Nothobranchius furzeri: one gene and its partners. The protein of the gene in region 1 purifies or fractionates together with the protein of each later gene. This does not show direct contact. Links are inferred from orthologs where the notes say so. Each region holds a gene or a part of one and is shown on either strand. Other genes may lie near its edges. The genes, in order: pomk, ghitm and tmem59.

Region 1 (10,439 bases):
CATTATTTATAAAATATAAAGTAATTAAATTTCATGATTTGGTCAACTGGAGAATATTGCATATAATGTATAAAGCAAATAAAGGTACATTGCCAAAGAATATTCAGCATATATTTGAAAAGAGAGATAGCAGTTATTCGTTGAAGGGATTTGAAATCTTCAAAAAACCTAGATTTAGAACAATAATGAAGGAAATGGGCATATCTGTGAATGGTGTGAAGTTGTGGAATTGCCTGGACAGAGAATGGAAAGAGTCAAGAACTCTAAAAGTGTTCAGTCTACACATTAAATCACGTGTGTTGAGTGGATATGACAACGGACAATTGATGTGGACATAATAATTAACAAAAGTGAACAGTTACGGGACTGAAAGAACTGGTGAGGGACTGCACAAATATAAATTGATATTTAAGTTTAAAAAGGGGGCAGAAATAATAAGATTTTTCTTCCATCTGCTCCCTTTCATTCAAATATATTGTGTTTTCATGAATATTGTTTAGTATCTGTTGTGTTATTTTTTTTTGAATGAAATAAAGATTTTTAAAAAATTCCTTTTTAACTATTTACCTGACTGTCTGAATTAATGTGAAGTGTGTTTATAGTCCCTGAACAAGTAAAAGTAACTTTAATCTTCTGATTAAACATTCAGTGATCAATCAGATTGATATTTCATATTTATATGGAATCATCACATCGTATTGGTCATAATTAATTTGCAGTTGTCACGCTATAAAGTGTGACCGCTACAGTACCATGTTTTAGCTTAAAGCCAAACTGATTATCCAAGGAAATAATATACACAGTGATCCTGTCAAGTAGGATTTTTTTTCTATAACCTCGGATAAAATACTGGCTAGTGCAGATGCACTATAATAATAATCCAAGCAGGTCACCTTCCCAGATTTGTTCTTGATAACTTGGACAAGCAGAATTCCCATCGAGTCTGGTAGGATGCCATGAATCATAAAACGCGTAAAACAAAGAACTAAAAGGGGAGCTAGTCTTCGACTAGCACATTCCAAATATTCTACACTAATGCATTCATCAGGGAAGGGAAAATTACATAAACAGCTAATAAAATCAAATCCAAGTTTCTTTACCTCCTGCATCTGTCAGGGTCTGTGCAAATAGATGCTGATGCAACACTAACAAAAGCGCACTTATGTAGACACTCACTACTCCACAGACCTTTTGAGTATCAGACTGTAAAATGTTGCTGCTTCTACCTACTTAAAAGAATATTTTGCCATCATGATAACAGCTGTTTACACCCCACCGTAACCTACCACTGCTACAGCCCTGGGCTACTTGCTACCAGTAAACACTGACCTGGATGCAGTGGTGGTAGTTGCTGGTTATCTTATCCAGGCAAACCTGGAAGAATGTGCTCCACAAATGTTACCAAGAGGTGAGACTGATAGGGATTTAAAGCAACAGCACCGACTGGTCCATATTCAAGGATGGAAACGCGGATACCCACTCTTCCTCTGCCCTTTTATACATCAGATGCTGCAAGGATATGGTTTCCACAAAAATAACATGCACAACTTTCTTAACAATGACCCACGAATGAACTATAGCATCAGACACTTGCTCAAGGTCTGGTGCCACCCAACCGCCCTGTGTTGCTAGGTCAGACCACAAGAGGGGATTAGAGACCAGGTCAGTCTGTAGGAAGATTGAAAGCTACTTGACCAGCTCTGCTCCTGTCCTCTCTTTGACTCTTAAAACCTACAAAAAGTAAAATAAAAATACAGCAAAGTGTGATCCTTTCAAAAGATGTTTTATTTGTTTACAGAGAGAAAAGTCAGTGGTTCTGGACAGTGTTACCCTCTACAGAAGGCTTGTTGGAATATGCGGCCCTCCACTTCTTCTACAATAGTGCAATTTTGTCTCCTCAGCAGGCTGCTGAAGTAGAGTAACAATTTTAACATGTTTTTTTTATCAAAATGATGTTAAAATTTGAGCAGTGCAAATAAAAAAAATCACAATAAACTTTAGTTTGCATTTTTTCATGACAAAAATTAGGGCTGTCAAAGTTAACATGTTATTGCATTAACACATTCATTAATTCATGCAGACAAATATTACATCTTACTTAGAGCATGTCAACATGAAAGGAGGGAGAAAGTTTTAAACTCTTAAGTGTAAAAGAAGGCATGTCTGCTCTGTGAGTAAAACAGGCGTTACTGTCAACCAGACCGTGCACGCATCTCCAGGCTCCACCGTGACCAGTGCACAAAGTTACAAGTTAACTATGAAACTCATGTGATTAACAACTATTAAAACCTTCGGCCAACTGACAGCCCTAAAAATAATCATGTTTGTGGCCCATGAGAACTTCTACCTTGATGAATCTGGCCCTCCTACTGAAAGGTTTGTATAACCCTGCTCTAAAGCATCTCCCGAACACCAGAAGCGTCTTGCACCATGGCCCTGTAAACTGATCTGTACACTTTCAACACATCAAGAGCTGAAGGACGGAGTTTAGGGTCTTCCTTCTTGCAATCGTTGTGAATCTGAAAAAGGTGAAAGCGAACCAATTCTCCTTCGGGTGCCCTTCCCAATATGAACTGTGTCACATCTGGAATTTTCCAGATATCGGTCTTTTCATCATATGCAGGCATGGAATCATCTGAAAATAGCGTCCCATCATTTCTGACAGGCCAAAGCTGCTCTGGGGCAACAAAGTCCCCAGTGAGCTCTCGATGGCCACATTTTACCAGTAAACCTTTGGACCAGTTGACTTCGGGCAGCGCGTCCAGGTCGTTCACCACCACATGGAAGTCATTCGTTAGCAGGAACTGTGAGAGCGTTTTCTCCAGGCTGTTTGAGTCACACATTACTCGCCGCCCAGCTGGGCTGTTGTGAAGGTAATGAAGGATGGTGACATAATCTGTGGCTAGTCTCAGTCGTAAGGACCACGTGTTGTACTGCTGGTACTGCTGTTGTCTGAAAACATGTTCTAAGTTGAGCAGTGAGCCATGTGGGTGGTGCTGGGTAACAATAGAATAGTCTTCGAGGCAAAACCCCACCAACTGCACAACTAGTGAGCCCTGCAAGGCCTGCAGCATTGACAATCCATGAAGAAAGTCTTCCAGGTAATCCAGAGAGGCCAGCTTAGACAGAGCCACCTTGTGACCTGTCCACTCTGCAAGATAAACCTGAGGAGGAAAAAAAGGGGGGGTTGGTGAGCTCATAACATATACACCTCTAGACAGGATATGGGATAAATTTAACATGTGAGCTTTGTCAGATGATGAGCTTGTAGGGGCTGTGGCCATGTACAGGTGCATCTCAATAACAGGGACTTCTTTAGAATGAATTGCTACATCAAAGCTGCGTGAAATGAAGGCGATCAGACTGCAGCCCTGCTATGATGTCTTATGGCATTTTGACATCTGGACTGGCGCGGTCCGGTCTTGGTAGCATTGGCCCACCCCTGCGCGGCCAGGTTCTGTTTGCTTATTATTCTCAGGAAGGCGGATGTCTCCAAACATTTGGGCGGGGCAAAAGACGTGTGGAAAAGTCTGTGGTGTTTTCCTTTGTTAGTAAACAAAAGGAGGCCGTGAGCAGTGTTACTTTTGGAGACTCCGAAATGAAGCACACAGCTTCCTATTCTCTTACTGAGTGCTCCTCACAACAGTCTGTCCTCCTGGCTGGAGCTAGCCTAGTGAACTAGACCAAATTCTTGCTTTGCAAAGTTTGGTCTAGGCACGCTCCATTGGAACCTCCGCAGCTCCTAACAGGACTCTGGCTAGCCAATCACAGCTCTCTAGAGGGGTTTCAAACACATAAAGAGCTGTGATTGGTCCATAATGGTGGGCCAATCATAGCGCTCTATCTGCTTAGTGAACAAATCACAGAGCTTTATCCGCTTTGTGGGCCAATCACGGCACTCTGTATGCCTGGTGGGTGGGATGATGCAACAGAGTGAAACAAGAGTATGCCACATTCTCTGTCCAGTGGAATGCGGAGATCATTTGAAAGACAACGGTAGAACCCGCCCCACAACCGAGAGCCGTCAATGGAGCATGGCCAGACTAAATAATACATTTATTTAGTCTGGCTTGCCAGGCTAGGCTGGAGCAGAAGATCCCAGCAGCAGTGACAGAAGATGTTTACTCCACCACATGCAGACTGAAAATGAATCGCACATGCAGGAAGGCTCTGAGGGCTCATTCTACCCGCCAGTCAGAAGCTCCCGCTATAGATAGGCATGAACTTCAGCTGGCCAATCAGTCCGTAGAGGGTGTGTTGGGCTTAGCACAAAGCGGACCACTAGAGAGCAGGTTTAAAAAATGGTCAGCTGAGAACGAAAACCACACAGATTACCCAGATGTGAACACAATATACCTGACCAGGGCTGGGCCGTGCCGAACCAGATGTGAAAGCACCATTATAGACACCCTGGCTGCTTTTGAATTAGAAATGAGCTTATCCGACTGTTGGCTCTGGTGAGTCTCTCAATCAGATTCCGTTACATTATCAATCCCACAGGGAAAATAAAGGCTAGCTAATATAAATTACAAGTTCACGGTCATAGCTCACACTTTGTCTAATGCTTTCTGAGGTAACATATTGTCTGTGGCTGTGATAGATCCTAAAACATCCATAGCCTTTATACTCGAGTACAACTCCACCTACCTTCTTAACGGCTCCCTGGCCAATCACCTTTAGCTTGTGCACTTCTGCACGTATCTGTGAACACTGGAGCCAGGGAGTACAGTTCCTCATGGTAGTCAGTTTAAAATGTTGAGGGAGACAGCCTGCATGGGTGTGTCGCTGCTGCTTGTCCTGACTCAGATAAATCACTGCAGCACACAGAAGCAAAGCAGCGAGGCACAGCGCGAGTCCCGGGGCGTTGTGGGAGAAAACACCACTGCTGTGCTGACCCATGGTGATCTACTTCACATGGAAAGTGTTAGTTTGTGAAGGCACAATCTGCAGGTGGAAAAAACATTTAACATTTTACCTGCACAAAAATAAAATATAAAAAAATACAAGTGCAAAGTACTTTTATTTACATGCATTTTTTTTTCATAAAAGCAAACAGCAGATTTGACATGTCAATTTCAAACACTTTGTATGTGAATAAAAAGTAAAATAGTTATTTTACCAAGAAGTGAAGAACAGAATAAGTCTATGCCATGCACTCTTTGGAGTTTTATATTCAGGTGAGTTTTTTAAAAAAATCCAGGTTATCCAGTCAGTGATTCAGGCTGCTTCTAATGACCATCAACTAATTGATTTGATTATTAATTAATTAAAATTATGAATGTTTCATAAAAGAACCAAATAAAATGTTTCATTTGAGTTCATTTCCATTTCAACAACAAATTGTGTGATTTAGGATCTACCACAGACAGACAGGTGCATAAATAATAAAATGTTTTATTCCCAGTCATGGTAGTGTTCATCACCTTTCTTTCAGTTGACTTTACTCTGCGGAGGTTGAGAGCCGGGAGCAGAGGGAAACCATGGGCCAGCCTTCAGCAACCGCTGTGAAGAATAAAATCGTTATGCTGCTTTAGAGAAATAACTGTGAGTGTTAAAAGAGCGTGCATGTAAGAACAATTCAATTCACCAGGTAATCTGGGTCCAGACAGAACCTCATTTGGGTCTGGCTTCAGACTGCAGTCCATCATTTAGGGACCCCTGAGTTAGAAGGAAACATAAAGCTACAAAGGTCAGGAATGGTTTTAACTCAACTTGTAGAAACTATCAGCATGTACTTTCAGAAAAAAGAAAGAAGCTCGTCAGCACTGCAGCTCAGCTGCTGATCATCTCTGGCATGCAGATACTAAGGCTGAGTTGTGTATTTTTATTTTTTATTTTTTTTACCACGCTGAGAATAAGAGACTCGAAAGTTATGTCAGCAAAGACTCAGCGTTCTACTGATTCAGGAACTGGACCTCTGGTGCTGCACGCAGCTTCTACCTACAGCATCCTCACTTTCACAGCACAGCCTTTTCAGGTGGGGGCAATCTAATGCATCGTCATGTGTTTGTAGCGTTTTCCTCTGCACCAGTGTGCTCTGATGCACTGACCACATTTTAGCCCCTCTAATCTAATCTAATCTAATCCTACATTTTTACCCGGAGTCTTGACATCGTTTCGTGAGATCGAAGGAGCCAATCTCTCCAACGTATTAGAGTAAAACAGGGTAGAACCTATTTAGGGTTTTTAATCGAACAAACCTTTATTTATGATCCAGAAATCCTAAAGAAAACGTTTCATCCGGAGCTAAATCTGTTAAGACCTGGTTGTTTTGCAGCAGAAATATATATATAAACGTTATGCCCTAAGAACAAGCTTGAACATGGGTCTCCATCTATTGTGGAGACTAGAAATGTTTTATAATATAAATTTATGAAATTAAAGCTTACATGAGCAGACTTTACATGACATCTTTCTTCTTCGTCGGTTTTCTTCTTCGTTGGTGCGGATTGTAAGCAGTCTACTTCAGTGTTACCGTCACCTACTGGACTGGAATCTGGGACATAAATGGGTCGTCTTCCGAACTTAAATAATTTTCACCTTTATTTATACACGTGAATCTCATTGAGACACGAGCGACCTGACTAGTTTTTACTCAGTAAACAAAATGCCTCAGAGGGGCCTCTCCTCTCCTGACTGCATCTAATACAGTTATTGAACCGATTGCAGTATAAACATAACCCAGCTGGACATTTTGTTATTTTATGAAGTGTATGATTTAATACCTTGTATTGTGCCAAACCTTTTTGACTTGTACTTTATTTAATGTTACCTTTTTATGCTGTTTGGCCTATAAATCCCCTTCATGTCCTATCTACATGGGCAGGAATTAGAAAGGTTAAAAACTTCACTTTGTCATGTAGACCATAAACTGATACATTTAATTTTTCTATGTGATGGCTTTTGTGTTTTATCCTGTCAAGAGAAGAAAACTGTTATTATCAAGGATTTAGCCTAACCGTAACCATACTTCTCACTAAATATGCACATTAAATTTTTCCAAACAATTTGTAAGAAACACTTGAAACAGTGACAGTTCAGTCATGTGTGATGTATTACTCTGTTGGGATTGTGTAAATGGTTCCTGCTGCTAACTATTCAGTCAGAAAATTGTCTATAGAAAGAAAAATAGATAGGAAACACTGGTACTCACATCAGAGTTACCAAGTCAGTTGTTACTGATGCTTGGTGAAGGAGAAAAATAACATCTGTATTAAGAAGTATAAATATTTTTTAAAACGATAGATTTTTCTATGGTAGACAGAGTGTGACAAGGCAATGTGACAAGGCAATATTTCTCTAGATTAACATTTTAAAACGAATAAAAAACAGAAGTTAATCAGTGCTTTCAGAGCAGTAGGCCTATGCATTGAGATGAAAGACTGATTCATAACCTTTGGACAAGAAGCATGAATGGGGTAAAGCAACAAAAATAGATTTTAAAATAAATATTTTAATTATGATTTTGTAATAATTAAAAAGGGACAGATCAAGAACGAGGATAATTCTAATGACAAACTCTAAACATATCTTAGATAAATAATCCTCAAACAATTTCAATGATCTACAGATAATATCCTTTCCCACAATCCTGAGTAACTAGAGCCACATAAGAAATGAGTTGCACCCGAGCGTAAATGTGTAGCCGCCAAATTGGGTGGGTCTCCTCGTTCTCCAAATCCAGAGTGAGCAACTATGGGGAGCCTAAGTCTCCTCTCTTTCCAGTCGGCTCATGGGTCCCCGGAAGAACAAAAAAAAAAATGAATGCAAGTCAATGTGGCTAAAAGAGCTATTTTCAAATCCGCTTTGCCTTATGCGCTGGATCGCACATATGTTAGTAAGTAAATTAAGTAAGTAAATTTTATTTATATAGCACTTCTCACAGACATAGAATCACAAAGTGCTTCACATAGATCAAAACAAAATAAAACAAAGTCATAAAATCATAAATAGATTAACATCATAAAATCAAAATGATCTCAAAGCAGAATTAGATTAACATCAGAAAAAATAAAGCCATAAAATTATAAAATTTCATAAACAGATTAAAGAATAAAATCTGAGTTAAAAATAAGGAAATAAAGGGTTTAGTTAAAAGCAGCTTTAAATAAAAGGGTCTTCAGCTGTTTTTTAAAAGTGTTCAGACTGTCAACGCTGCGTAAAGATAAAGGAAGATCATTCCAGAGTCGGGATGCAACAGTCTGGAAGGTGTGATCACCTCCACTTTTGATCTGGACTTTGGAACTTGTAGAAGGTTCTGGTGTGTGGACCTGAGGGCTCGGGTTGGAGCATAAGGCTTTAACTGTTCAGTAAGGGTTAGCAGTAAGGGTTATAAGGAGGAGCTTGACCACGTAGAGCATTGAAAGTTATAGTCAGGATTCTAAAATGAACTCTAAAGTTAACGGGTAACCAGTGCAGAGACATTAGAAAAGGAGTGATGTTTGCCCTTCTGTTTGCTCCAGTTAGGAGCCTCGCTGCAGAGTTCTGGACCAACTGATGGCGGTCAAGGGCTTTTTTGTTAAAACATGTGAAAGGTGTGTTCCAGTAATCTAGACAGGAGGAAATAAAGGCATGGATAACCATTTCAAGTTCATGTTTTGACACCAAGCTTCACAGTTTGGAGATATTTCTTAAATGATAAAAACAGTTTCGGACCAAAGTTTTTGAGTGACCTTCAAGAGACATTGGTCAAAAACAACACCCAAATTCCTTAAGTTTGTCTTGACGGCAGAGGATAAATGACTACGTTTTAGACTAATCAGGGGAACCATGTTCTCAGGGGAAATGATCAGACATTCAGTCTTTTCAGAGTTTAACTGATGGAAGTTATCTTCTAGCCAGCTGGTGATAGCTGAAAGACACTCTAGTAATTCAGACAGTTTATAGAACTCAGAATCCTTAAAGGAACAGTACAGCTGAATATCATCTGCATATAGGTGATAAGAGACATTATGAAAAGAATCAAGATTCTGTCCAACAGGGTGTCTGTACAGCAGAAACAACAGTGGACCCAAAACAGAGCCTTGAGGTACCCCACAGAACAAATCAGTAGAATCTGACATAATTTGGTTTATACAGACACTGTAACTTCTGTTAGAAAGGTACGATTTAAACCAGTCCAGAACAGTTCCAGAGACCCCCACTGAGTCACCAAGTTTGTTACTTAAGGTGTTGTGATCAACAGTGTCAAACGCTGCAGAAAGATCCAACAATACTAACACTGTGACCTCCCCGTTGTCTGCATTCATCATGATGTCACTGGAAACTTTAAGCAAAGCTGTTTCTATTGAATGCTTTTTTACAAAAACCAGACTGGAATTTATCAAAATGGTTGTGTAGTTCCAGAAAAGTAATCAGTTGATCTGCCACAACCTTTTCCAATATTTTAGAGATAAAGGGTAATTTAGAAATGGGTCTGTAATTTTTAGGCTGAGATGAGTCCATACTTGGTTTTTTAAGCATTGGTTCAATAACTGCATGTTTGAAAACAGATGGTACAGAGCCAGATTGTAGGGATAAATTAATAAAATCTACAATGCATTGTCATGGTCCGTGGTGAGCTGCCTGCCTGTAACTCTGTTTTCTGCTGAGCATTGTCCACAGGCGGGCGTGTCTGAGAGCTACCAGCTGCAGCTGATCCCATCATCAAGGCCCAGGGAATTTAAGGAGCAGTGTGACACTTCACCACGCCGGATGATTTCTCTGTTTGGATAGCTCTAGCCTCTAACCTGCCTCGTATCTGTATCTGTATCTGTATCTGTATCTGTATCTGTATCTGTATCTGTATCTGTATCTCGTTCCAGTTAACCTGCCGCCTGAAATCCCTGAATGTCTTTCCCTGCTCTCCTTCAGGTTTCTCTCCACATTCCATCATCTCCAGAACCAACCTGGACTCCTGCATTCCAGACCACACTGCCTCCTCCCCTGGCTGCCCGCTCTCAGCCGCTCACCTGCCCTCATCAACCTCCGCTCCTCCATCTCTGGATAAATCAATTCTCTCACCTTCTGGATATCCTCTGCTCACCTGGACCTGACCAAAACCCTCCCTGTACATTCCACCGCTACCAAGAAACGGTAAGCTTAGCCTCAAGATAAAATCTCCATTATTCCACCGGTTATTCACTCTGTCTCCCTCCTCAGAACCTCCTCCTGGAATCCTGCTGCCAGTACTGAGCATCTTTGGTTCCCGTCCCTCCTTTAGCTCCTCATTTAAAAATAAACCATTTACACACTTGTTTCTGTGAAGTGATTCTGCATGTCGTGGGTCAAGAAATTGCCACCCAGCATGACATGCATGAGCCAATTTGGTTAACCATCCTGATTAAGGTAGTAGGAATGAAATCAGCAGGGCATGAGGTTGGTTTCATGTGTTTCTGAATGAGGCACATGTTCTGGAAATCTACAGGACTAAAGACAGACCAAGATTGAGGGAGGGGTTG
Region 2 (10,103 bases), on another chromosome or scaffold:
GGCGCCGCTTCATCAGCACAAAGTCCTTGCTGTGTGAGAGGAAGGAAGCATTGTGCTTCAGCAGCATGTGGGAGAGACCACCAGGCTGGAGAGGGTCTGGAACGTTCTGCTTCAATGTGATTTTATCCGACACCCTGAGAGAGGGAGATAAAGTTAAACGCACAGCCTTTTTGGTGAACCTAACGTTCACGACAGCACAAAGACTTACCTTGATATGATCTTGTTTTCCTTTTCGATGATCACCAGTGCCATGAAGAAGACGATGGGTATTGTGTATTTGATCCTCATTCTTGGATGAATATTATTTCGCACGCTGCCTCCTAATAGGTTCTGCCAATCTCGCAAGTCTCCAGTTGCCTTCTTAAGGAGCCTTCTGGTTGTTTGTATTCCCTGTCGTAGGTGATGTTTCATCCTGTAAGAGGAAAAAAAACACATCCATCTGTCAGTTGCACATTTTGCCCATTGGAGGACAGCTGCGTCTGATCTCAGTTTCTTTCAAGCTCTTTGTAATATTTGCTTGGTCTTTAGGAGAAGTTGATTCTGTTGCTGGATACAGAAAACTGCACTGTGATGCTGAGTCAAATGCAAAGCTTCCCTAAATGTTTAGACATGCGACAAGAGCAGCTCTCAATTCTGCAAAAATGAGATGAGAACCTTATCTTAGAAACAAAACTATTCTACATATGAAGATAAACAGAGAAAACAACAGTTAAAACAGAATCTACTCTGTAAGGAAGTCCTTGTTATCTTTAAATGCAGCGGTGCATTTTAGGAACTTGCCCACCCACCAAGCTAGACTGAGGGCCGCTGCACAGAGACACTGTATTTAGGAGTTAGTCTGTCTAGAATGTTTTCAAAACTGAGCAGAAAAACAACCGGGGCAGCACAGTGAAATGTGAGCGACAGGCTGCAATCAAGCACAATCTTCCCAATTAAACTCTTATCCCACAACTACAAAGCTGCTAGCCAAAAAACTCACAAGTTGTCTGGCTTTGACTGATACTCACTAAACCCCCCGCAGATGTAGGCAGCCGAGCAGCCCGATGTCCAAACAACCATCTGCTACGTTTTTTTGTCAACAGAAGCCCTTGTTGACCTCTTCTGTTTGTGTGGTTCTAAAGCGTAAAGTGAAACTGACACATGTCTAAATGCTGAGAGGTGTAAGTGTGCAGAAACTGAAGGGGTGGCCTGCTTGCAGAAGGATAAATTATGGTGCTCCAAACCCGGGGGCAACTCAGGATGCTGCAGGCGGCGATCAGCTGCTATTCAAACAGAAATAGGGCTGTGGCACGTGTTTAGAACATGTTGCGCTTTTCTGAAAGATTAATATTACCAGTAGTTTACTTTGAAGATAGCAGCAGCTTGATGCAGATCCCTGACTAATCTCTGGAGTTTAACGTAATCCTGCCACCTTTCTTGAGTCAACAATACTCATAAGAGTAATTGAAACACCCTTCACAGAAAAATTTGCTAAAGCATCAGCAGGACGTTGATGCCTCATTTAAAGGTGTGGTTTACTTGTTGAACATATACACGTGCCTTGTAAGTCATACTCAGGGGAGAAGAAGCTCAGATGCACCTGTTTCAGGAAGTAAAAGTCAGCTGGAGGCGAAAGTAGCATCAGACGATCTTAGAGTCTTATTTCCTGATGTTCTGACATATCTCTGCTCTACTTGGCTAATAGCAATGCAACTTTCCCACTCACTGTGTTTGCTTTTCAACATTGATGTTTTATCTCCACAAATAAGTAAAGCCTGAAGGAGTTCTGCTGTGTGGTGGGGTTGCTAATGCTAACGGTTAGCTTCTACTAGCCGAGACAATCTGTTTCCTGGACGCTAAACCAACAACAGCCTTCCTCCTCCTAAGTCAATATGAGTGAGTCCATGAATATTAAGTGACAGTGTGACGTAGATCTGTCAGGGTTTTTCTAATCCTAGCGTTTCATTGTCGGTTTTCTATCAGAATCATGTTCAGCCTCCATGAAAAACTCAAAGTGACCAATGGTAATCAGAAATAATATTGAAAACAACTTTTTTGTGAACTACGCCTTTAACAAACACCTCATGCTTATCATTTTTCGGTGTTAGACACGAAAACTGCATGTAGTCCTGATAAATGACCATTATTTTCTTACTTCGAGTGAACCTGAATGTGTGAAAGTTTCTACATCCTGTTGCGACCTCTGTCCCGGCCAGTTGTGAGCAAAAGAGCGCGTCCGAGTGACTGCAGTCTAAACAGAAGGAACGGTTGAGTGCTGCCTGTGAAATTCTCTGAGTGGGAACAGGAAGTTTGCAGCTCCAGTGGAGCACTGTTGATGTGGAATGGCGTGTAATGAAAAGGTGAACAGCCCATGTACTGAGACGTGTTTTCATTGGAAGGAAAATCCAACGCTGTCTTGCACCACCCTGCTGCATGCCACAACCACAAAGGTCCCTTTACATGGGAGTGACTCCGGACCCTTCTGGTGGTGGTGGGGGGGCTGAGGTGGCAGAACATAAACTGCTGGGTCATTCACACGTCACACTGTTGGATGTTACAGCTCAACTAGAACAGGTCTGATGGTCAAATGCATGAAATGAAGAAAATTGTAAATGCAATCTAATTGTACTCTCTAAAGTTACTTTACCTGAACTAATTGGTAAAAGAACACTATGAGAAATATGACACAAAAAAGGTTATTATTGATTAAAATCTGTAAACACTGGTCCCGCATCTGCACCATCCTTCATTTCTGATTTGAAGACTGAAAAAAAGGTATTCCACATCAACAATTCATCAAGTAAATAAGCAGTCAGATGTTTTGTCATTTATATAGTACATTAGATGTACACCAATTATCCCAGCTTATTGCATCTGCTGTGTTAAAAAGAGAAGAAAAAAATACACACAAGCTGACATTGGTGAATATTCACAAACCACTGAGGCATGTGACACGTTTGATCATCTGCTCATAACAAAACCGCTGGTGCACCATTTATCATCTTGTTACAAATGGTTTTAATAGCTGCCTCTTATTTAATGTAAATCTTATGTGAAGACAAATTAAACAGCAGCCGCCAAAGCCTGGTTTGATGGTGACTGTTCTCCAAACATAAATATCTGTGAGAGGATAAATAAGTAGGAGAAATGGGTGTAATTGTTTTTGTTAGAAGCAGGAAAATACAAAGTACACATTTTTATTTATTGTAATCACTTGTGTGTGTAATCACATGGTCGGAGCAAATGATCAGCAAATAAAACCCATCAGAGTAATTTACTATAATAACTAAAATGAAAGATTTAATGGTCTGACTTTTGATTTGATTGGCCTAATGAAAATAGTAGCATCTAAGGATCTTTTGAATTATTTACCATGTTTCTTGTTTTAGAACCATTTTTACAAACTGACAGTTTTGTACTTTTATGTAATTTGTTTAAATACAGCTTCCAATTTAAAAAGAATGCTTATTTTTGTGAAGTCAGATAAATGTAATTCAAAACTTGGGGTAAAGGAAGAATAAAATAAAACAAAATAATCCTGCACGTACTGAATTTAGTCAGATAAATATTTGACAGATAATCTGAGATAGTTAAAAGTTGTGTTTCATAACAGCTTGTACAATGACATATGAAATGAACCAACCATTATGAATTCGTCCTTCTTTTCATCCACTTGTTCAGCCTGTCCTGAAAGTGCGACTCCGGAGAGAGATCCCAAACTTTCCCAATGTTCTTTCAGTTATGTGGCCAAAAACAATTATTACCCCAAAACGCATCTGTACTTCTTTCATTTGACTAAATGAACAGGAAAAGCGAAATCATGTTACGCAGGTTGAAGGTCAATCTTTCCAGTGAACTGAAGTCTGTCCAAGTGTCTCAGCTCACTGAATCGATCAGGACATTTTGGACCAGAGGAGCGGAGCTGGAGGCAGGAGGCGCGCCCCTCACGGAGAGCTGAGAGACAACAAACAACTGCAGACAAAATTAGTTTGAAACACAAACATAATTTAAATACATTATCAGGGTAAAACCAAGATGTTGCCCTAAATAACCAAAGAGATGTAGCGATTTTAGAGCAAATTTAATGGTTAAAATCCCTGTTGTGATCTCAACAATAGACCTTGACCCCCATCTAGTGGACAGATGCACAATCTGCATCATGAAAGTGGAATGGAAATCTTACAGGAATCTCGTGTTCATCAGGCGTTTGTCCGTTTGTTGTTTGGTAGGGTGTGTGTAGATCAACTCAATAAATAACAAACAATAATAAAAAATGCTGATCAGCTGCAGAACTTTGTTTAGCAAATGCTCATTGCATCACGTTACGCCACTAAACACAACAGAAAACAATTCCTGGCTTTAAGACTGTATAGTGCAACTCACAGCAAAAGCAAAACTGTCCTTTTTCAGAAATGTAAAAAAAAAAGAAAAAAAAGACCTAATAATATTTGTTTCTGTTCTTTTCTACACTATTGTATGGTTTCCATTATTCCATCCATCAATTTCTCTTTCATGTTGATTTAAACTTCTGTAAGCAAAAAATAAAATGTTTATCCTATGGAGGTAATAAAGCATATTGGAGTCTGAATAATATAATATAAAATATAATATAATATAATATAATATAATATAATATAATATAATATAATATAATATATAATATAATATAATATAATATAATATAATATAATATAATATAATATAATATAATATAATATAATATAATATGTTAGCTAACACATTTTTTGAAAAGGATGTAACACTAATTATTGTTCATTCAATATAATCACCTATAGACTTGTGAGACTTGGTTAAAAATATAAAGTGTTTTTCTTTAAAAAAAATGTATGCATGTGCTGCTGTTTTTGGTTCTTAGCAGTTTACATCGCTCAACAATCTGCTTGCACTAGATATACATAGATATTTGTATCTATGTTTGAACTACAATTCCCACCATATCTGTCGCTTAATCATGACGCATCTGCTAGAATTTTCCGGAAGGTGAGTTGCAAAACGATTGCGTCATTAACTTGCGCTCTTGTAGTAGAGAGGTGACTGGAAGAGTGTTGCTCTTACACTTCGGTGAGTATCGTTTCTTATTAAAGTCTTGTTGGGATCATTGACATGTTTTTTATTACCTGTTTTGTCTGATTGCTGTGATCTGTGAGGACGTCAGAGTCGTAACTAATCCATTACGTCATTAACTGTTGCTACGAACTTTAGCTCAGGGTAAATAAGCTAATCTGCACTGGCTTGTTTTATTAAAATGTAAATATTGCATATTTGTTGGTTGTTTAGTGCCTTTCACCTAACGAGATACCTGTTCATAATGAAAACACCGCAGTTGAGGAGGAGGATTACCAGTCTAATTATTTCCCTGGCTTCCTGTTTATTTTCCTGCAGACAGACCAGAACAGCACCGAACATGCTAGTGGCGAGGCTGACATGTCTCAGGACGCTCCCGCTCCTCGGGCTCCGCTCTGCTCTGTCTCAGGGCTCTTCAGCCCTCAGAGCTCCCACCCTCAAGGCCTGTCCAACGCTGATCACACCCCAGCAGGTAAAGTTATATTACCACACCTATTTCTGCTGACCATGGTGGCTCTTTAATCAGAACAAAAATGATTATATTTATTTAATTTTCATCTGAATCTTGTTTAACCAAGAATGTCACACAATGTCATTACACTACTTTGTGTTGCTGTGGTTTTATATACTTCCAGGCTCTCCTGAACTCATACTTAGGCACTTTAGAACTATAATCTGTAAGGATTGAGTGGTTAGTTTATCGGACCAAAACCCTAACAAGTGATTGCTTAGCTTTAGGAACATGAAAGTTTGTGATTCTGCACACTTTACAGATTGATGTTGGGATTAGGGTTGGGCAATGGGACGAATTATTCGACCATCGCCCCATCCTAGTTGGGAGTTTGAATTTGACATAGAAAACACAACAGAATAGCTTACTCTTTCTTCCTATATTTGCATCTTTAATTCTGTGCATCAAAAATAATAACTGTGTCTTTCAGCTCTGAGACTACTCCCAATACAGGACTAATTATTAGCAACCATTTCAGAGCTGATAAAGCCGAGAACCAGCTCTATATCTGCTCTGAGACGGTACAGAACTGAGGTAGATCCCAGACTAGGAGCCGTACTGACCCTCGTCACTAGATTATTCTACATCTTTACCACTAGATCAAACTTAGTAGTTCTTCCTGGTTGTTTCTAACTAAATTCCAGCTCTAAGTCACCATTGGGCATTTCTTCTACTTTCTGTAGGGCTTCGCCTCCAAAGCCAGGTTTGGTTTCCGCCGTGTGAAGACCGCCAGAGAGCAACTGAAAGAAGCAGCTTTTGAACCTGCAACAGATACAGCCATCAAAAGTAGATGCTTTAATTAAGCCTTCTTACATAGCTGTTTCCCATTATTCTTCCATTGCTTGTTAAATAACAACCAGCACTTTAAACAGATCAACTTTCAAAGAATGTAGGAGTGTTAGATGTGTAGAAGATCGTAAACTTAGGAAATGTTCCAGTGCTGTGGATAATATTGTGGCATTATGGAAAATGTATAAAAACAACTGTAAAATCTGCTTTTGTTGCTAGTTGACAGCATGGGAAGAATGATTCTGGCTGGAGGTGCAGCATTGGGCCTTGGAGCTTTGTGCTACTATGGACTCGGCATGTCTAATGAAATTGGTGCCGTTGAGAAATCGATGTGAGCGTCAGAGCTTAATCTTTACTCTTGCAGCTCCACATTCATACAAAAGGTTTTCCACATCCTCTAAAGATTAATCTCTTCCTGTGCAGGATCTGGCCTCAGTATGTGAAGGACAGGATCCACTCCACCTACATGTACTTTGCAGGCAGCGTTGGACTGACTGCTCTGTCGGCTGTAGCTGTGAGCAGAACACCGGTGCTCATGGGGTTGATGATGAGAGGATCCTGGCTGGTGAGCTTTGCTGCTTTGGTTCATTTTAAAGGAGTCTAAATATTTGTAGGAGCGTAGATGCTTAGGGAAAACACATTTTTTTCAGATGGGTTATTTCACATGAACTTTCCTGATTTATTCCAGGCCATTGGAGCAACTTTTGCAGCAATGATTGGAGCAGGAATGTTGGTTCGGTCCATCTCATACGAGCACAGCCCGGTGCCAAAACATCTCGCTTGGATGCTTCATGCAGGTTTGATTGTGATTCAGTGTCTGAAACATTTGTTGGCATAGTGCTGGGGCAGCAGTCGCTCAGAAGGTAGAGCATGTTAACCAGTAACTGTAGGGTTGTGGGATCGATCCTAGCTCCCTCCAGGGAATTCTGCTGTTGTGCCCTTGGCATGGGCGGTACCAGGATTTTTTACCTGCAGTTTCTGTACAGTTTCTTGTTCAGTGTTTGGGGTTGCTGCGCTCCATCTGCGTGGTGGAGGGGGGCAGTCTTATGGGGGATGTCCTCCCAGTAGAGTGACCAGATCCAAACTTGCCAAATGTAGTGCAGAGACAATGTGTAGTTTTTACAAGCAATCTCTGGATGTATCCATCAAAATGTTGTTGAAAATAAATGAAATGATGCTCAGTTGTTGAAAATATTGGCGGCGTGAGAGGGGGATTCTTTGTGAATGAATTAATACCGGAACATTTTTGGTGAATAATTCAGGGAGGCTGCGGGAACAAGAAGTAAAATAGTTTACAGATTTTAAACAGTTTCCAGTCCTAAATGGAAGAATTAACAGGTGTGAAAGTTTTCACCTACAGTTTATCCACAGAATCAGGATTACATCCTGTTTCCTTCTATGGAAGCTCGTGAGGACAAAACACATTTACAGATTTCTAACAAAACTTTCACCATTCATAAACAGTGTTTTACACATTTACCTCTTCACTCGTTATCAGTGATGACGGAGTCTGATGTGCTTGTTATTTTGCTGGAGGCCTGCTCTCAGGGATTTTTGACCCTAATGGCCATCCATTGGTAAGGTCTTACTCGAACACAAAAATACCGCTTGCTTGCAATGATTTAGGTATGTACCGCCCCCTATCGCCACAGAAAACACACATTGTCACTTTAAGGCACAACATGAAATTCCAATGCCACAAAATGAAGTAAAGACACAAGTAAAAACTTTTATTCTGCTCTCAACATCACTGTTAAAATTACATACTATTATTATTATTATTATTATTATTATTATTATTATTATTATTATTATATATTTCATGTCTGTTTGAATTAAACTTGAACAAGCAAACATCAAAAGCTTTGTAACTATTTTACAGTTCCCCTCGTTGCCACTGTTATGATTTAGTTACCTTAAAAACTCATAAATTAGAGAACAAAAATTGTTTTTATGGAAACGTGTTTAATGTAATGTAATATGTCAGCGGACAAGTTTCTGTTGAAATATATTTAAATAAAAAATGCTCTTCAGCAGCTCCTCTTTCACCATTTCAATGATTATCCCTGTTTAGCTTGTTCCCATTAACTCTTGCTGCTGGCTTAAAACTGTATGGCTGTGCAGCTTCAGTATTTGGCATAAATTTATGTTCATATATTCACAATCTGGAGCTAATTGTTGCTGCTGCAAATCCATTTTTTGGGAACTTTTTTTCTTCTGCAACTTCTGGTTTCCAGCAAGAGGCGCTGTTTTCAGATGGATGAAGAAACCATTTCTTCATTTAGAAACAAAGTAGTATTTATTCTAAAATGACAACAAACCTCTTATACTAAATATTTAAGAACGAGAAAAAAACATTTAGTCCTTTCAGCATTTTTGTGATGTGCTTTAAAAGGGCTTAGCTTGAAACCGCAGCACCTCCAACGGTGTTATAATTGTTTGGTTTCAGCACGAATCTGTCTAATTACTGGGAAACCTGCTTTTGTTTTGACCAACATATTTTGTGACTCAGATTTTCCGCACCGTTTCATACTAGAGCCACTAGAGGGCAGTAATGTAAAGGATCACAGAAAACATTTTTCAGAAGTATGGTCTTGTGAATCTACACAGGTAACACTTGTTACCAAATCAGTTTTGTTGTTTGTGATCATAGATAGTGATACATTTGATATAGTTTTTATAGTTTTGTTTTTGTCATTTCAGAAATTTTATTAACACTTTTTTTATTCTGTACAGTTGTTATATTACTGTTTTTTACCCTATCTGCCTTATTGTATCTGCAAATATCTTGTCTGCTCAGTGCTTGATATAAAAGGGCTGTAAAAATTATATTATTATTATTATTATTATCATCATTATTCTTAATTTTTTTTCTTGATTCTTCCATCAGGTGTGATGGGTGCGGTCATTGCTCCACTGACTCTCCTGGGAGGACCTCTGATGATAAGGGCTGCCTGGTACACAGCAGGCATTGTGGGAGGCCTTTCTACAGTGGCCATGTGTGCGCCAAGTGAAAAGTTCCTTAACATGGGAGGACCATTGGCTGTCGGCTTTGGAGTAGTGTTTGCTTCCTCTATTGGTTAGTTAAGTTACATTTTGTTCTTAAATAGTATTACAGGTGAGGATTATCACTACAGGATCCTTACGCCCGGAACACACCAAACGCAGAAGCGTAATGAAGCGCAGTGGAACGACGAGCGGTTCTAATCGGCGCCCTTGTTAACCTACGGTCTCGGTCACATCAGCTGCGAAGCGCCACGAAGGCCCGCGCCGTGCAGCAATCGTTTCGGCATGAGCTCTTTTTTCGTGAGCTGTCAGTGAGCCCCGTCAATTTTGGCAGGAAGTCAAACCAAAGCAGAAGAGGCTGGCTGGTATATTTGACAAAATAAAAGAAAAAATTCAAAATAAAACACTGATTGATAAATGTGATCATTTTTGTGTATTTAAACAGACTATAGAGATGAAAATGAACAAGCACACACACACTCCTGCAGAGAAACGCAGCATTTCCATAATTTTAAAGGCAGTTTTTACAGCAAAAGATGGATTTCAATGTAAACTACCACAAACACTAGTTACTGTATTTACTTAACCATTTAGAATGTAACTGGTCTACAAAACAGCAGCAGGATCAGCGCAGGTTCTGATATCAACAAGCAGGGCACAAACTGGTTACACACACTCACACACACATGCACGCGCACACGGCAAAGGCACGGGGGTGGGGGCATTGGAAAAC
Region 3 (10,259 bases), on another chromosome or scaffold:
GGTCAAGGCCTGGGTGGAGACGTATTTTATCCACACTTCTTGTTAGGAAAACACTTCTCCTGGCGGGCCGAGAGAGCGGCACCAAGGCAGTGGGAGACCGCACCCCACTCAACCTCCCCGCGTGTGCTGTCACAGTTTCTCAGTCTAAAAACGAGTTGTTAACGAGTGCGTGCACACAAGCACGCACTCACACAAGACTTACCGCTCAGGAGAAGAGCAGACACAGGTTCTGCAGCATTCTGGAGGATTTCCTCTTAAACGCGATCATTAGATGAAAAGGGGAGGAGGGCATTTTTTTCAAGGAGGCGAGCGCATGGACGTAATTTTCCCTTTAGAAGTGGGGTGGGGGGCGGGGGGGTGAATCTTTACAGTATGCTCTAATGGGAAACAGGCTTCAACACAAACGGTTGTTTTCCGCTTGGTCCTAGAGCTCAACCGGTGTCAATTTAATATAGCGTAATATTGTTTTGGGATGGTAAAAAGTGCAGGGGTCAAAACTTGACTTTGGAAAAAGTGGGGGGACAACCCCCCCAAACAAAAATTACGTCCATGGGCGAGTGGCTCAGAGCCAGCTTGTCATATTGGCAGGTGAGTGGCTGAGCCAGGCGGAGGTGCGGCTGTCTCACCTGGAGACCAGTGTGGTGCAGCCACGTAGTACTTTGCTGACAATGTCACGTTTTTCAGCTTAGCCATCAGCCACAGCTGGTTCTACATAAATGTGGAGCAGAGTTTTAACCTGAAGATGGAGATATAATGATGGTTTTGGGTTGAAATATTAAATTTAGAGTAAGTTGCACTAAACTGCAACACTAATGATTACACATGTGTACAGCACCATTAGACACTCATCTATACAGGTTATCAGAAAAAAAATTAGGCATTACTTGCTCTTTAAAAAGACAATGCACAGCAAGGAGATAGGTTTCGCTGTTGGTTCTACTAAACGGACACTAAGGAGGGCTAGAAGCGAGACAAAACTGCCAAGTGTGCCTTTATAAAGCATTCTTAAAAAACTGTTACAAAATAATCACACAAGAAGTAATATATTCCATAAAGACTAACTTATTAAATGTACTTTAATAGGTGAATGCCAGCAGGTCTTGACGACTGTGAGTGGGAACTTCAGCAGCCCACATTTCCCCAACATTTACCCCAATAACATCAACTGCCACTGGAGCATCAACCTGGAAGCTGGGTACCGGATCAAACTCTTTTTTCCCATCTTGGACCTGGAGGGCCGAAACAGTTTATCGGAGGAATGTGACTATGATTTTGTGGCAGTGTACGACGGGGACAGCCAGACAAACGCCCTGCTGGGGCGCTGGTGTGGCAGGGAGCAGCCTCCGTCTCTCATCTCTAAGGGAAACAAGCTGCTGGTGGTACTCAACACAGACAGAACTGATGCTCACAGAGGATTCACTGCCTCTTATCTGGGAGGTAAAGTAACTTAAATGTGATTCATTTCCAAACAGGGAAAGAAAAAAAACACTTGGACTGTTTTATAAAGAGCTAATTGGCTATTAATAATTCTACATATCCCGTGGGGACTGTAGGTTTAGGATAGTCACCAACTGCTTGCTATGTTTGCCGTCCAAATCCCAGCAAAATTTGATCTTGCCAAAAGCAAATCTTTAACATTCATCTAAGCAAACAACTCTTCTCCCTTTCCTTCTTACGCTGCTCATGAAATGACTGAGCTGTCTTCTTCCCAGTGGTGCCTGTAAATGTTAGCTGCACAAGATCAGAGTTTACCATTCTGATCCCTCAACAGTCCTTACCTCAGCTGGACCGGGAAAGCATCTACCTGGGCAACCCAACCTGCACAGCCCAGTTAACCGCCACCTCATACAAAATACTAGCACAGTTTGTCAACTGTGGCACAGCCAGCCAGGTACCTAGCTTTCTTTATCATGATTTTAAAGACAAATATCTACATTCTTTAATTAATGGCATATTGATTCCTTACAGAAACACCGGAACATTACCATGCTTGTGAACAAGCTCTACATAGACTTCTCCGATGGGAAGCAGCAGAACGTTCAGGAGTATAAGGTGCAGTGCGATGCACTACGCAAGATAGCCTCGGTATCGATCATTTCTGCAGAGGAGCGTCGCCTGGAGGAGCAGGCCCAGCAGACGGATGGAGACAGCAGCAGTTCTGCTGCAGAGCCACAAACCGAGCCTCATGACTTGAGTGATATTGTCTTCATCAGCATCTGTGTTCTAGCTGTCATTCTCATGGTGATAGCTATTGTGTGGTTAGTGCTTCTTTAGTGATTTAAAAAATAATATTAAAGGAGACATGTGACTTTATTTCTCAAGAAATATTATTTTATGGTCACGTTAAGTGATTTTAGCAGTTTTATTTTTGACATTTTCAGTACCTTCCAGAATGAGTCGTTTCAGGGCTCTGTCACTTAAAAAAATAACAAGTTAGAGCTGGTCTGCCCACCTCTCTACCACTCAGGCTGCTATAAGCTGAGAAGTTCTGATTCCCGGGAGGGGTTCGGAGTAGAGCCGCTGCTCCTCCGGCAGCAGATCTCTCCTGAAGTGAGAGATGGTTGTATGCTTATTTGCCAATTTTTGACATCACAAACAGCCTTTTCAAACTGTTTTAGTCGTATAATTCCTAAAACCAAACACTGACAGAAAATGAATGAATGGGTTTTTTCACATTTGGAGTGTTTATAGAGGCAGTAGAGACCCACATGGCAGCAGAAAATTATGCAAAAGTCGAGTTTTGCTAAGTATATCCTTTTCAAAACTTCTATAAAGTTCATTGTTCTGTTGATTATCCTACACTGCTCCCAGATCAGTTGTAGCCAGGCTTGGCTGTTTGGTAAAATAATGCCAATATTTCAAACTATTCATTACTTTTTTAAACTTAATACAGATTTTTTATGTGGCTGTAATAGCATTTCATTTATGCCATGACTTTGATTAAAGCCTGTTTTAATTATGATATAAACTGTGATCATTTGTAAATGACATGTATTTGATATAGGGCCTTCTAGAGTCTTGGAACCCCCCAAGACACTTTACAACAGAATCAGTCATTCATCCATTCACACCCCTGGCACACTTACAGAGGTGAGTCTGCCGTACACAGGCGCCACCAGTCCCTCTGAGCACCACCAGCAGGCAAGGTGGGTTAAGTGTTGCTCAAGAACACAGCGACAGATTGAGCGAGGCTCGAACCTGCAACCTTCCCATTCCGGGGCGAGCACTTAACTCCTGTGCCACCGTTGCCCATTTGGACTTGTGCTTAACTTGAAACTTGACTACTATACAGTAAATCTGTTAGAAATTAAAATCAGCTACAAAAGACAAAGTTTTTTCTGGTCATCATTTCTATTAATTAACAATTTATCTGCAGTAAAAAAAGTGTAAACATTCAATTGTTTTGCATTTTCTTCAGCAAAGACAAACAAGATGATATAAGCTTCATGAAAATGTGAATGCATTAAAAACTTAGATTTCACTGTCTGAGGCTCTGTTTCTTATTTTTTGTATTTAGATACAAGTTGTTCAACTGATATTTTACTGTCCTTCACTTCACTTCTGACATCAGGGTTGTGTTTGAATGCAAACACCAGCGCTCTAACCGTCCGCCTGTATGAACTGCTGACTAACCGCCGGCTCTGGTGAAAAACCTCTCTCTCCATGTTGTCTATAAGACCAGAATCCTCCTGTGTGTCAGACAGAAACACAAACAAGAGAAGACTGTTACAATTTTTAGGAGAAAATCAAGAGATCAGAGTAAAACAAAAGGAGTTCAACTATGACTACAAACTTAACCAAGAGGCCTTTTCTCACCTTGACCTCTAGTGCATTAGACAGCATTCTTCGTGCGTTACTCCTGAGTCCCTCAGATTGTTTGTCAGAACGTACTTCAATAGATGGCTTATTGGAGTTCTCCTCAATAAAAGTCCTCCAGTCATTGTAAACCTTTGCTGCCAGTGAGCTCACCTCAGGATCAAGATGCTTTCGCATTTTGTTGACAGTTAGACCTGAGGGGAAAGATATTTTCAACAAGGACCTTTTTCACACTTGCATAGCTTTTGTAACCTTCTATAACCAACCAGTGGACATCAGCACAGCATAAAGGAAACAAGGTTTTCCTGTTTTGTACCTATTTTAGTGCTCTTTAGCACCTCTCTGGATGGGATCTTCTTGCTGAGCTCTGTCAGGGCACTCAGCAGGTTTTCCTTTCTCTGTTCTGGCAGCTCCAGCGTTGACTTGTAACGCATGATGTCCTCAATCACCACCACTCTCTTACATAAACACCAGAGAAAGCTACTAAGTAAACATATCTATCAGGAACTCAATTCACATAACATCGATTTGCTCACCCGTAGGGATTCAATTGTAGTTTGTTTGTAAATCTTTTCGTCGCTTTTCCATTGTTTGGGTATTTCACCTTTAGGAAGCCGAACTACAAACTTGTCCATCTTCAGAAAACAAAACTGCAGCTTGAATTTGAAGTTAAAACAATCTATTTTCCGACCTTCTGAGCTAACTAGTGACCTTCTGAGCTAACTGAGTCTAAGCTAACAGATGCTAGCAGTTGCCAGGTTAAATGTTACCGCTCCAGACCCACCCACGTGAAAAATAAAGATATTGAACCATTTCTATCTCAAAATAGGAACGATTTTTAATCCATTGTGTATAAATGCCAGTAGGTGTGTAGCGGAGCGTAAAGGCATCTGAAAGTAAAATACTTCCGGTAGTTTCTTGCAGTAGTGATGCTGCCTTCAAGTACAGTGAGGAATTGCTTAACTGACGGTTAGGGCAATTGAAACCTGTTTGTTTCAAACATGATATAAAACACGTAATGAACATCCAATTCTAGTGTTTATCTGTGAACTTTATAATCTTAGTAAAAATCAGTCAATGAAACGATGTTGTTTGTTGCATGCAAAAAGGACCAAAAATAAGATGTGACTCAAGAAAACATAAAATCTGATATAAGGCTACTTCTTTATAGATTCGAGTTTTATCATGAAACATTTAGTTTTCTATACCAAATATTAGCCATATAATTTAAGTCAAATGTCATAATTTTTGAAAATATATAAAAAAAACTATTTGGGAGTCATGAATAACATTTATCGCAAGTCTCGCGAGAACACGAACCGATTAGGGTAGATGAGGAAGAAGACGGAGAGTGTTGTTTGTTTGGGTTTTCAGCCAAAATGGGAACGGTGTCTCTTTATGTTTATTTTCTGGGACTTTTTGCTGTCTCCGTGTGCGCTTTTGCGTCTTCAGACGTTTTTGACAGCGTTTTGGGGAACACAGCATCTTGCCATAAGTCATGTGGAATGACATATAGTTTGCACACGTATCCACGGGTGAGTATTCATTTTGCTCGGGAGTTGTTTCGGCTAGCGCTAGCTTGCTAACGTTTGGCGAAAATGGCCATTTTAAAATGTTTGTTCTGTCTTTTGATGGTTTGTTGTCTGCTGTATAAATTTGTTGTTTAGGCAATAATCAAAAGTGCGTCATGTGTCGTCGATCTTTCGTTTGTTTTACAGGAGGAGGAACTCTATGCCTGCCAGAGGGGCTGTCGACTTTTCTCCATTTGTCAGTTTGTTCGTGACAGCGAAGATTTGAATCAGACTAAATCCGAATGTGAATCAAGTAAGACACAAACTGAGCCTTTGCTTGTTTAAATCTGTTTCTACACAGCCTTTAGGCCTCTAAGACTAGCCTTGTAATCATTAACAATGAAGCAGTAAATGTTTGTTTGCTGGCAACCCTAACACCAGTTTCAGACCTAAAACACCTCCTCTTATAATTTTATTGTCTGTGGTCCTGTTTTACCAGCTGTTTTTTTCTCAAACCTCTGCAGCTTGCAAGGAAGCATACATCCAGACTGATGAACAGTATGCATGCATCATGGGATGTCATAATCAGCTTCCATTTGCTGAGCAGCGGGTTGAACAGGTACACTGATCTACTGGACAGATTTGTTTCGAAGGGACAGTGTGCACAGTATTTAATTTGTTTCTACAGTTGGAGGCCATGATGCCCCGGATTCATCTACTTTTCCCACTGACTCTGGTTAGAGGGTTTTGGGATGATGTAATGAGTCAGGCCCACAGCTTCATCACTTCCTCCTGGACCTTCTACCTACAGGCTGATGATGGAAAAGTTGTCATTTTCCAGGTATTTTAGACACGAGCTTGATGATCTGCTTTAACTTTATTTGTAAACAACACGGTTAACTCTGTTATTCAACAAATATTTTTAATTCTGACCCTCTATTTCTCGTATTTCACAGACTGAACCACAAGTGGAGTTCTTTTCCCAGCTTGAATTGAACAAAGACATTAAGGAGGAGCCACAGAAAAGCTGTATGCATTTCATAATCCTTAATCTCTCTGGCCTTTTTTGTTGTCATAATATTAATCACTACACCCCCATTCCCTTTGCCTTGCATGGAAGAAAGTATGCTTAGGTTTCTTACAAGTTTTTTGTTTCTTATCTTCAAGTTGCTGATCTAAGCAATCCTATTTACAAAGAATACCATCGCACTTTAATCCAAGAGAGGGACAGAGATATGTCTGGTGATCGCAGCTATGATGATGGATCTAACCTCTTCAGCTGTCTGTCCAGGTTTGTTTGTTTTTATATCTGTTGTTGGGAGCTGATTATCTGGACAGAGCAAGAGTTTTATTAGCACCAAGGTTCTTGCCTCTTTGAAGCTTAGAGTTTGCACTTTTCTCATCAGGAACCCTTGGCTACCAGGGTGGATCCTGACATCAACGTTGTTCCTGTCTGTGTTGGCCCTGATCTGGATCTGCTGTGCCACAGTGGCCACTGCTGTGGATCAGTATGTACCTGCTGAGGTAAAGCCTGAGAAGTTCTTTCCAACATCTCTTTAGAACTAAGATCTAATCTAGGGGGAAAAAACATCTTGCCTAGATCCTGGAAGTTTTATATCAATTTTATTTTTGAACTGAAAATTTTTTTAATTGTTCTCCTTTTAGAAACTGAGCATCTACGGTGACAAAGACTATATGAAAGAACAGAAACTGATTCCTTACCCATCCTCCTCTCTGATCGTCATCTCCTCCAAAGGGACAGAGGAAGAGGCGGGACCACTTCCATCCAAGGTCAACTTGGGCCAGTCTGACATCTAGAATCCAAAGATGAACTCCAGAAGCAATTTCCACCTTTAGGAATAATCTTCACCTGATTTTTATCCTCAAAATGAAGACCCAAACTGCTTGTGGTATCAGCAGAACTTGCAGAACATTTTGTATCAACTGAACTTTTTGACGCATTTGAAACTAGGGTGATTAATGGGTATAACGGAGGCATTACAGACTAATCAGGGTAGTACAATAAAAAGGTTTCAGGGCTTTTCTTTAATTTTTGCTGTGTAGGTGTCGTTTATTGAATGTTTATTTGAACTCTTTGTGACTTGAAGTGATGCAAGTGTCACCCTTAACCTACAGCTTTTTGATGAATTAGTTTGTGCTAACTCTGCAGACTTTTCCCATTTGTTCTCATGTTTTTATTGCAGTGATGTTCCAATAACATTCTACAGTAAAATCTATGATGAGACAAAAAGGCTTTTATGCTTCAGTTTATTCCCTTAAAGAAGTGCAATTCATGAAAACTGTTTGAGGTGGATTTTTTTGTTGCTGTATGTTAAAGTTCTTTACAAGTACCGCAACATGGCAAGAAAATTATTTAAAAAGCACATTTTAGTTTTGTCTGTGGTTTAAATTCACTGAAGCTTCTGTGTGAACCTGCAGCAAAGTAAACAAAGGTCTAACTTTTTCAACGTGTTCTGTGGAGCATGCAAATCTCTTCTGACCAATTATTTATACTTTCACAAATATCCTGCTGACTCTGCAGCCAGCTGTTCATGCACGGCTGGAGCGAATGACTTTGGCTTTTTGTCACTTTTTTCACAATGAAGTTGTGATGGAATGTGTTTGTGAAATGGAGTTACACTACCTGCACACAGCAGAGCAAAGCAGGTCTGACTACAGTCCATAAAAACAACTCATTCGTTCTGTCAGAAACTTCCATTTGTTCCCATTTAACTTATAATAATGTATTGATTGCTACTTCTGTCAGAAACCACACAAGTAATTAATTATAACTATTTCTCACTTGGGTAGTCTTTCTGCCACTATGTAAAGAATGTAGTTTTTCCAGAGTTATAATTTTCCTTCAGGTAGATTCCCAATAATTGGATTTTAAGGGGAACTGCACTGATGTCACCTATAAAAGCCCGTGGAAAGTGCTTGCTGAAAGCAGCTGTGTTTAGCTGAAATAAAACTGCCAAACCAAAAAAATAAAATAAAAAAAGTCACCGCCCAGATTTAACTAAGCAAATAGGTTTGAGCCTCCTATTGGATAATTTCTGCATGGGCTGCAACAAGTTATTTAACCCTAACCGGTACAATCAGTTGTTTTTCATTTATTAAACAACCATGAAAGGCATCTGGTGGTCGTGAAAAATATGTTAGTCTGAGACGGGTCAGATCATTGATATGTAGAGAAAACATCAGAGACGCAGAAGCGACTACAACTGGGTTAAGAACTGTCCAACACATTAATAAAAACTGGTCTGATGAGTCCAGATGGACCCTGTTCCAGAGTGATGAGTGCATCAGGGTAAGAAGAGAGGCAGATGAAGTGATGCACCCATCATGCCTAATGCCTACTGTACAAGCCTGTGGGGGCAGTGTTATGATCTGGGCTTGCTGCAGTTGGTCAGGTCTAGGTTCAGCAACAGGATGTGCTCCAAGAATGAGGTCGACGGACCACCAGAATATACTGAATGACCAGGTTATTCCATCTTTCCTGATGACACGGGCAATGCCAGGATTCATTGGGCTCAGATAGTGAAAGAGGGGTTAGAAAGCATGAGATCATTTTCACACATGGATCGACCACCAGAGTCCAGACCTTAACCCCAATGAGAATCTTTGGGATGTGCTGGAGAAGGCTTTGTGCAGCGGTCAGACTCTACCATCATTAATGCAAAATGTTGGTGAAACATGAATGCAACTCAGGATGGAAATAAATCTTGTGACGTTGCAGAAGCTTATTATAACAATGGCACAGAGAATGTGTGACTAGTAATCAAAGCTAGAGGTGGTTCCAATAAATATTAGTGTGTTTTATGGCCGAGCAGCTTATAATGCTTTCAGCAGCTTGAGTAAGACAGCTGCACTCAAGACAACTTTGGGCAACATGAAGAATAAAACAACGTGGACACATGAAGTGATACATTAAGGTCAGCAGTTCTTTGCAGACTATCGCTTCATGGTTAAAGTTGCTACTGAATATGTCCAGAAGGGTTGTGGCGGTGTGTATTTTTATGAGGACCCAAGCGTTATAAAGCAGGAAGACCCAAGAGGACATTTTGTCCACTTTTACTGTTCCAAGTCTTTGTGGATGTTCAGCTATTTATTTGGGTGAGTTTCCAAACTGTAGAAAGGAAGACGTTCAAAATGCAACAATTTATTTACAGAATAAACATGTTTAACAAAAAACAGTTTTAGAATTTCTGAACGTTAAAGTATAACAGGATACTTCTGGTTTCTCTCGCATCGTTCTGTCACCCTCATAGTGCTTGGGTATGGCCACATTTTTAATAGCTGCTCAACAAGTCTAAGTCCTCCTCTGTAAAACCCGATGAGATTGAACGCTTGCTAGGGGGACTGTGATGTGATGTGCCATCCTTGCTTGACTTTCCCTTCCTTTTGTTGACATTACAACAGGAAGACGGGACTTGGTGGTTTCTTGCAGAAGGAACCGGCGTCTCCTTCGTGAAATCGTTTGTTACAGGTTTGCAGAAATGGAGTTTCTCTGCGTTGGACTCTGTCAATTGTTCACCGGTCAGTGGCGCTGTGTTCATCGCATCTCTGATGAACCTCTGTCTGCCAACTACAGGGAAAAATAAACTAATCATTTAGTGTGTGGAGATAAATGGTCTTTAAATTACCAAGCAACTTACAAAAACCAAGTGCAGATGCCCGCAATTCTTCAACTCTCTTCTGCTTTGGCACTTGTAAGCCACTTGTTTCCCACTGATTTACAACCTGCAAATAAATCATTTTTTATCAGTTTTGTGTTGTTCTTGTAGCACACTGTGCTCATTTATGTCTGAAATTATTTACCTGCTCTGCCCAACCTTCAGTTTTACATCCAGAGTGATCAAATGTCTCCAGGGGTCGGTCAGAATGAATGAGCCCCAACAGGTTCCACACAGTCGTCCTCAATCCTGCGTC

What was found.
Region 2: the proteins of pomk (region 1) and ghitm purify together in Homo sapiens (affinity purification with mass spectrometry; 3 studies listed by BioGRID and IntAct, counting the BioPlex papers as one, with this or other methods). This does not show direct contact. The link is inferred for Nothobranchius furzeri from reciprocal best matches to the Homo sapiens genes POMK and GHITM.
Region 3: the proteins of pomk (region 1) and tmem59 purify together in Homo sapiens (affinity purification with mass spectrometry; 3 studies listed by BioGRID and IntAct, with this or other methods). This does not show direct contact. The link is inferred for Nothobranchius furzeri from reciprocal best matches to the Homo sapiens genes POMK and TMEM59.

The regions. Positions count from the first base shown.
Region 1 is NC_091746.1:36,263,972-36,274,410, forward strand, and holds pomk (protein O-mannose kinase), read right to left. Parts: upstream 6,484-10,439; 5' UTR 6,390-6,483; intron 5,659-6,389; 5' UTR 5,588-5,658; intron 5,503-5,587; 5' UTR 5,424-5,502; intron 4,945-5,423; exon of another isoform or gene 4,906-4,944; 5' UTR 4,900-4,905; coding exon 4,648-4,899; intron 3,165-4,647; coding exon 2,394-3,164; 3' UTR 2,177-2,393; downstream 1-2,176. UniProt on the Homo sapiens protein: Protein O-mannose kinase that specifically mediates phosphorylation at the 6-position of an O-mannose of the trisaccharide (N-acetylgalactosamine (GalNAc)-beta-1,3-N-acetylglucosamine (GlcNAc)-beta-1,4-mannose) to generate phosphorylated O-mannosyl trisaccharide (N-acetylgalactosamine-beta-1,3-N-acetylglucosamine-beta-1,4-(phosphate-6-)mannose).
Region 2 is NC_091756.1:41,666,790-41,676,892, forward strand, and holds the start of ghitm (growth hormone-inducible transmembrane protein), read left to right. Parts: upstream 1-4,953; 5' UTR 4,954-5,061; intron 5,062-5,382; 5' UTR 5,383-5,404; coding exon 5,405-5,536; intron 5,537-6,258; coding exon 6,259-6,361; intron 6,362-6,583; coding exon 6,584-6,695; intron 6,696-6,787; coding exon 6,788-6,929; intron 6,930-7,052; coding exon 7,053-7,161; intron 7,162-9,254; coding exon 9,255-9,443; intron 9,444-10,103. Other genes in the region: chst3b (carbohydrate sulfotransferase 3), read right to left, coding at 1-134, 209-411. UniProt on the Homo sapiens protein: Plays an important role in maintenance of mitochondrial morphology and in mediating either calcium or potassium/proton antiport. Mediates proton-dependent calcium efflux from mitochondrion.
Region 3 is NC_091751.1:44,170,164-44,180,422, reverse strand, and holds tmem59 (transmembrane protein 59), read left to right. Parts: upstream 1-5,126; 5' UTR 5,127-5,195; coding exon 5,196-5,351; intron 5,352-5,534; coding exon 5,535-5,640; intron 5,641-5,851; coding exon 5,852-5,946; intron 5,947-6,015; coding exon 6,016-6,168; intron 6,169-6,283; coding exon 6,284-6,356; intron 6,357-6,494; coding exon 6,495-6,618; intron 6,619-6,733; coding exon 6,734-6,851; intron 6,852-6,992; coding exon 6,993-7,145; 3' UTR 7,146-7,581; downstream 7,582-10,259. Other genes in the region: cdcp2 (CUB domain-containing protein 2), read left to right, coding at 1,084-1,437, 1,713-1,891, 1,969-2,274; tceanc2 (transcription elongation factor A N-terminal and central domain-containing protein 2), read right to left, coding at 3,501-3,689, 3,817-4,010, 4,133-4,274, 4,353-4,451; lrrc42 (leucine-rich repeat-containing protein 42), read right to left, coding at 9,620-9,915, 9,986-10,070, 10,149-10,259.